2 linked regions of the Daphnia pulex genome follow. The protein of the gene in region 1 purifies or fractionates together with the protein of each later gene. This does not show direct contact. Links are inferred from orthologs where the notes say so. Each region holds a gene or a part of one and is shown on either strand. Other genes may lie near its edges.

Evidence for each region.
Region 2: the proteins of GPN-loop GTPase 3-like (region 1) and DNA-directed RNA polymerase III subunit RPC5-like purify together in Homo sapiens (affinity purification with mass spectrometry; 3 studies listed by BioGRID and IntAct, counting the BioPlex papers as one, with this or other methods). This does not show direct contact. The link is inferred for Daphnia pulex from reciprocal best matches to the Homo sapiens genes GPN3 and POLR3E.

What each region holds. Positions count from the first base shown.
Region 1 is NC_060025.1:7,099,850-7,103,058, reverse strand, and holds GPN-loop GTPase 3-like, read right to left. Parts: upstream 1,822-3,209; 5' UTR 1,713-1,821; coding exon 1,668-1,712; intron 1,599-1,667; coding exon 1,081-1,598; intron 1,026-1,080; coding exon 810-1,025; intron 744-809; coding exon 662-743; 3' UTR 585-661; downstream 1-584. Other genes in the region: GPN-loop GTPase 1-like, read left to right, coding at 1-38, 106-329, 402-493; AP2-associated protein kinase 1-like, read left to right, coding at 2,190-2,328, 2,394-2,758, 2,826-2,968, 3,038-3,209. UniProt on the Homo sapiens protein: Small GTPase required for proper localization of RNA polymerase II (RNAPII). May act at an RNAP assembly step prior to nuclear import.
Region 2 is NC_060017.1:5,953,570-5,957,691, reverse strand, and holds DNA-directed RNA polymerase III subunit RPC5-like, read left to right. Parts: upstream 1-1,223; 5' UTR 1,224-1,380; coding exon 1,381-1,422; intron 1,423-1,486; coding exon 1,487-1,588; intron 1,589-1,644; coding exon 1,645-1,799; intron 1,800-1,864; coding exon 1,865-2,052; intron 2,053-2,115; coding exon 2,116-2,288; intron 2,289-2,352; coding exon 2,353-2,557; intron 2,558-2,612; coding exon 2,613-2,839; intron 2,840-2,918; coding exon 2,919-3,079; intron 3,080-3,140; coding exon 3,141-3,321; 3' UTR 3,322-3,468; downstream 3,469-4,122. Other genes in the region: histone H2B-like, read right to left, coding at 85-321, 398-460, 519-608. UniProt on the Homo sapiens protein: DNA-dependent RNA polymerase catalyzes the transcription of DNA into RNA using the four ribonucleoside triphosphates as substrates.

The DNA.
Region 1 (3,209 bases):
CTGGCCGCTGTCGATGCCGCCGTTGTTGAATACGAAACGTAAACGACTATTACTTAAATTTAATTTCGGCAGAACAACTTATTGAAATTACATTTTCTTTCATAGAGAATACTGCCCAGAACATGATCGCTTGCTAAAACTTCAAGCCGAAGCCCGTACGAAGGATAAAGACCGCCAAAAGAAAAAATTTCAACACGATTTTGACAACGATGTACAAGCCCAAAGTGTATCAAGTGCGACATCTGAAATATTGTTGCGCAATCGAGCCATCGGCGGAGAATCCAGTAGTGATGATGAAGAACACGAAGGGCGCCCTGGAGACGACGATGGTATACATAAATATTTTGTGATTGTGAATATAGTTAGCTTATTCCTAATAACCAATAATTAATTTTTGGCAGATGAAGAAGACCGAGTTGGTCAGAAATCATTCCACAACTTCTTGGAAGAACAGAAGAAGAAGCAACAGTCGAAATCGAATAAACCTTCGTAAATCCTAGCGCCATCTTCACTTAACACCACTAATGTTACGACAATAACATGATGTACATCAATGTCATCTGAAAATACAAAATATACAGAAATGCTGAAAAAATTGCGGTGTATTGTGTTTCAAGGAAAAAGAAATAATAAATTCGTAAGTAAGTGATATTTAATTGACTCATCCCCTTCCTTCTTCGTAACCGTCATCGTTGTCCTCGTCTTCCTCGTCAGGAGCATCAAATTCCGCCATTTTTATATCCCTGAACAGCAATTAATGAATGACTGATCTGTTTTGTAACCCTTTGCTACTATAACTAGAAAGGTACCTGTCTTCTCCAAACTGCATGCAGTTGTCCACCATGAACAGAATATTGGCGAGATTGTCTTCGTCCGTTATATTAAGCGGTGCGAATTTGATTAGAGAATAGTCTTCCAAAACTCGGCCAATCATTTCAGTAAGCATCTGATGTTTTTGATTCCATTTTGAATTGACCACAACCGTATCGTTCGCACATATGTCTTTCACGTCCGGCTCCAAAAATCTACACAAAATGCAGGCATTAGTTGAGGAAAACTGTTGAAATGATAAGTTCTCACCTTTCCAGTTGCTTTTTACTCTTCTTGCTTAACAAATCAATTTTACTCAAGATGCTGATGAATGTAACCTCCAAGGTTGTCATGGCACTTAGAGCAGCCATTGATGCTGATATAAATGATGAAGAGTTTATCATAAAGTGACTGTCTAAGATAAAGACAGCACACAATCTGAAATTCCATAACTCTAGTGCTTCCAGCAATTTCTTCATAACATTGAGATGTGTGTATAGCTCAATCTGTCCAGGGCAATCAAAAATGAAGTAGTCATCATCATCTTCTCCAAGTTGATTCTCTAGCCACGGCAAATTTTCCAGAAGAAACTCCATACAAAAAACAAGAGCTCCATTTGGTCCAAAATGCATTTCCTCATCTTCCATTGCATCGTCCACATGAATGAGGTCTCGAATATCGATGGACGGTTTATATTCGAAAGACTCGGCTGCTGGATCCAAATTTACAATGTGAATATTTCGTCGAGAAGTTTCAGCATGTCGTTGCATTTCAGTGCAGTAGGTGGACTAAAAACAAATTCATTTTGTTACATCTTTTTTTAAGGAAACATTGATTGGTTTTTCATCTAAACTTACTTTTCCAGAGCCTGCTGGGCCAATGACAATTTGTGCATATCTCATTTTATTTCTAACAGGAAATCTTTTATATTTCAGACACGTGAAACACTTCAATTCCAAAATGACTATTTTGATTTGGTTTCCTGCGTCGTCTGCAATAGACTGTTGCTAGGCAACAGAACCGATTGCACTGCCAAGTGCTCAAGCGAGAATTTTGTGAAGCTTCTGACAGGTTTTATAGGGGGTGGAAAAGAAGCAAAATCCCGTTCGGAAGACGAGAGAAATTTCGGAAGATAAGAAAATTATTTGGATTCGTGTTCCAATGATATTCATTTATTTCGCATGACGTCTTTTTCGTCGTGATTCTGCCACCCCAGTTTGACGTTCCTGTTAATCGTGATTCGGATTATCTCTTTGTCTTCAGCTGTAAGTTTTTCTGTCAATTTATGTCGCAATATCTCGGTTGCTTCTTTTCTATATTTGTAGATTTTCACTATATCGTATATTTTTCCCTAACACACAGGCTGTATATAGTTAATCATGAAGAAATTATTCTCTAAAATTGAGACAAAAATTGACCCTTCTCAGAAGGAGTCTAAAGGTGGTCAGAGCCTTGTTGGAAAAGTGTTTCAAGTGGGAAAACAGTACTCTGTCACAGTTGAAGACATTATTGCCGAAGGTTTGTAATTTTATTATCAAATAATATTGAATTGTTTCACTTTTAATCCATGAATTCTTTTCTAGGTGGTTTTGCAATTGTTTTCCTAGTTAAGGCATCTAATGGCAGTCGCTATGCTTTAAAACGTATGCATGTCAACAATGATCATGACTTGGCTGCCTGCCGAAGAGAAATTCAGATTGTTTCTACACTCAATGGGCACAAGAATATTATTGGATACATAGACTCCAGCATCACACAGTCAAGCAATGGGGTGTATGAGGTGCTTCTCCTTATGCCCTTTTACAAGATGCATGTCCTCCAGTTGATGAATGAAAGACTGCAGACAGGCTTCTCAGAGCCAGAAGTTATGGCTATCTTTTGTGACATGTGTGAAGCTGTTTCTCGGCTTCATCACTGCCAGACACCCATCATACATCGTGATCTAAAAGTATGTCTAGGATTTATTTTATTAATGCTGGACTAAGAATGTAAACTATTAAATCGGTGTTTCACAGGTGGAAAACATTTTATTCAATGACGCTGGCCATTACGTCCTTTGTGACTTTGGTTCAGCTACGGCCAAGGTGCTTAACCCATCCACAATGGGTGTGGCTGTTGTTGAGGAAGAGATTAAAAAATACACTACATTGTCCTATAGGTAATATAAAATTATACTGCTGTTGGAATAAGTAAAAAAAAAAAAAAACTTATATAATGCCATATGTAGGTCTCCCGAAATGGTCGATTTATACATGGGGAAATCCATCACAACCAAGGCAGATATTTGGGCCCTTGGTTGTCTCCTGTACAAGCTCTGCTTTTTCACGCTTCCTTTTGGTGAATCGACACTAGCCATCCAGAACGGGCAGTTTAATCTGCCTGAAGGTCACCGGTATTCT
Region 2 (4,122 bases), on another chromosome or scaffold:
ATCGATGTAGATAATTATAGAAGATATAAAAAAATAGTCTAATAAAAAAAATTGAATTGTGGTCGACCCACTCGGAAGTCATTTTCACTTTGAACTGGTGTACTTGGTGACAGCCTTGGTGCCTTCCGAAACAGCGTGCTTGGCCAACTCGCCAGGTAGGAGGAGACGTACAGCTGTTTGGATTTCACGACTGGTAATGGTCGAACGCTTGTTGTAATGGGCTAGCCGCGAAGATTCTCCGGCAATCCGCTCGAAAATGTCGTTCACGAAGCTGTTCATAATAGTCATGGCCTTGGACGAAATTCCAGTGTCGGGATGTACCTGCAGAAAAGTTTCATCGATTGTAATTACACGATTATACACTATAAAATATCACGAAGAGAAACAAAACATTTACCTGCTTCAAGACTTTGTAGATGTAAATGGCGTAACTCTCCTTCCTCTTCTTGGTACGTTTGGTCTAAAGAAAACAAGATGTGAATCAAACTCGTTCAAAGTTTATAACACGAAATTCTTACCTTTTCACCAGACTTGTTGAGACCACCCTTTTGAGTCTTTCCTGCCTTTTTCGCTGCTTTTCCACTTGTTTTTGTAGGTGACATGGCCATTTTGATGATATTCTTAACTGGAACTCGACTGTGAGCTGATAGAATCTGGGAAATTCTGCTACAGAAAACCTAGACGACGTTGGTTTTTATACTCTTTCCCCCCATTTTTCGGACAAAGAAAACTCCCTATTTGCAGTCATAACTCCGGGGTACAAACCCATCCTCCTTCCACTTTTTTGTTTTCAGACGTTTTCTTACTCTTCCTCTAACCTCAAGTTAATGGATTTGTTTAATTCATTTAAAAGGGGATAATCTTTTTTCTCAGAAAGAGAAATAAACTATGAGCAAACTCTGTCTAGCCACGAGGTATTTTTTCGTTAGCCTTCCACGAATTCATATGCATTTTTTAAAGATTTTTTAAAGAAACTATTTTTTGTTAGGGCATATTCCGATTATTAAGTTTAATTGAAAAAAAATCATTTTAAACCTATTCAAAGCAAGGTCAAATGAGCTCCAATGAAATTGTTGTTTGCCATACTGAAAATAAGTTAGCCAGCCAAATAGGTTTTTAAAAATAAATATATGTTTATAAAATCTGAAGAAATGCATACAGCATTTATTAAATTTCGTGTCTATTAAATAATTTCGATGATTTATCAAATAGGATTTAATATGACCCATTTCCAGCAGACGACTGCCTCCCCATTTCACGATTTGAAGAATAATATTGTGCAGTGCTGTCTGCAGAGAATTTGCTTTCCCACGTTGTGGGAGTGATATCTATGATTTGTGATATCTAATTTATAATTTGGCGTCTAGAATCTGAAAAAAAATGTCAAAGTTAGAAGAGGAGAATGATGAAGTTGTCAGAGAGGTGGGAATTGGGTGTTGTTGCTGTATTCGGCGTGAATGTTCTCACATGTTTATGATTTTTACAGATCCCAGTCTTTTTGTCAAAGAATTTGCTTCAGAAACTCTATGTTTTCCAATATCCACTTCGTTCTGTTGCAGTTGAAATGGAAAGACCTCATGTTGCTGCTGTAAGTATTATATCTTGCATGCAACTCGATTTCAATATTAATGTGAAACATTTCAGTCAAGGATTAAGCCTAAACTTCAGGAAGTTGAATTAGAGCTTGAATTACCAACACATACACAAAATTATGATAGGAGCAAAGCTGAGCAAATTGTTATTAATACAGATGGACAAAATAAATATGATAAACCTGATCATCAGAACTTTTTCAGCGGGTAGGATTGGTTCGTAATATATTTACTTCAACAATATAATAAGTGTTTTCTTTCTTTCATGAAAGTTCATTTATGGATAAAATCACCTATTCTTCCACAAAAGCACTTTTGGATCCAGGAAGGTTTGCAGTTGGCATTGTAGTTGATAATGAACTTCATCTCAATCCATTGCATGGAATTCTACATGTAAAACCCAACTTTCCATACTTGGACAAATCTGAAAAAAATCTAAAAGATACTGATGAACCAACAGGTTAATTTCTTAATGCCAGAAGCATTGTTTCAAATTTATTAAAGTTCTTTGTGAATTTTATAGAGTCAGGTGATGAGGAAGAAGTTGCTGAACAAATCACTGTGAAATTTGCTCGAACTGAAACAGACAGAAGCAAAGCCCTCAGAGAAAAGTCTTTTGGGTTCCTCCAAAAAAAGAATGCAGAAGAACCCTGGTACAATACCAAATTCTATTCATTAAATTCTGAGGAATCCATGGTATTTATATCACAGTATTAAAGGTTATATAATCAATAGAATTATTGTTTGATCATTTGTATAGTTGGAAAAAAACCGTCTCATCTGTGGAAAATCGGATACAGTTCAAAATCTAACCATGGCAAAAGATAAATACATCAGCGATTTGATTGGCCCTAGCCTAGAGATTGATGAATTTCAGAAACAACTTACGTTAGGAAACGCGTCAATGTTTCAAATTCTTAAACTGCCTCAACTTGTAGATAGAATTAAAAATCTCATGGCTAATGGTAACTTAAATGTTGAAATAGTATTACCACATCGATAACCAATTTCTATCTATAGTTAAGCTGATCTCGTTCAGTAAGTTGTGCAGTACCCTAGAAATCAAACAGGAATCTGTTAAAATGGAATCGCTGAAATCGCTGCAACAGGTGGCTGAGTTGGTCCAAGGTAACTGGGTTGTCAAGAGCGAAATCCTTTATCCGAGCGGAGAGAAAGACAAAACGGTTAAATTGTGTGGAATTTCCGGAATTCATCCTGATATCATCAGCAAAGCCAGGGATTATGTGGTAAATAGCCTCCTGATGATTTGTTTTTTTCCTGGCGACTGTCATAAAGTTCTAACATTTATGTTTTGATTTGATATAGTTGTACATGTTTACTCTAAACCGTTGTGTGAACCGAGAAGCAGTCACTATTGCGACTAAAATTCCTACTGATGAAATGAAAGTTATTCTGGAGCAAATTTCCTTCAAGACCAAGGACGGATGGGAATTCAAATTGCCTTTTGATCAAGCCTTTGTTGACAAGTGCGTTTCAATTCCTTTCCAATGATTTTTGTGTTTTAATGACATTTTATTGCGAAAACAGGTATCCGGAAGTGGTTAGGCGCAGCGAATTGATGAATAAAGCTAAGCAGAAGCAACTTTACAACGTCGCCGAATTTAAAGCTCCGAAGAAGGAACCCACCGATACAATAAAGAAAAGAACAAGGCGACGCTCTCGACAAGATTCGTGCAGCTCAGACAGTGGAAATGACGTTAAGAAGTAATCGCAGTTGAACATGAAAAAGCGGATATTAAAAATCTTCTAGTACACTTTTTCTACCCTGCAACAGTCTCGCTGTTCATTTCATTGTTTTGACCTTGATTGTTCAGTTCGTGCTCTTGTCGAAAAATGAAATGGTTGACTGGCGAAAGTAACTGTATCTCTTTTCTACTTTTGATTTGTACGTAGAAATCTCAAACCGTACCAACAAAAATAACTGCAAGCCTCATCCACATTTTCACAAGCCCTCTGGAATATAAAATTTCGAAAGGATTTTTTATTAATATGAAAATATGTACACTTTTTAATCCTGGAACCTGGATCTACTGATCTACTCTAAGCTTTTTCATGCGACTGTTTTTTTTTTTCTTGTAAAATTGTTTGTGTTAATAATAAAATACGGAAACGATACATCCTCATATAAGTTTTTCTGGTTGTTTTTGCCACGAACTCAGTTTTGTGTTATCAATGATAGGTTAGGCAACCGTCTGCTAGAACTGATTTTAAGATTAGATCGTAGATTATAAACATCCTGGTTGCGTAAACCGATACAGCAAAAGAAAGGGGAGGAGCTTATTACAATCGTCTGAAGAGTTTGTTTACTGCTTTAAAATCAAGTTTTACACGTCAGTCATTTTTACACGTCAAACAGTCAAAGAATGTTGCAGCAAATATTTTAGATACTATATAAAAAACTATATGTGAGTGCTGAGAATTCAATTTCCTTAAATGCTATTGTGAGTTTGTTTCATTAAAGTTGTTATACTAAGAACATTTTCACGTGCGTACCTACGAGACAAGCACC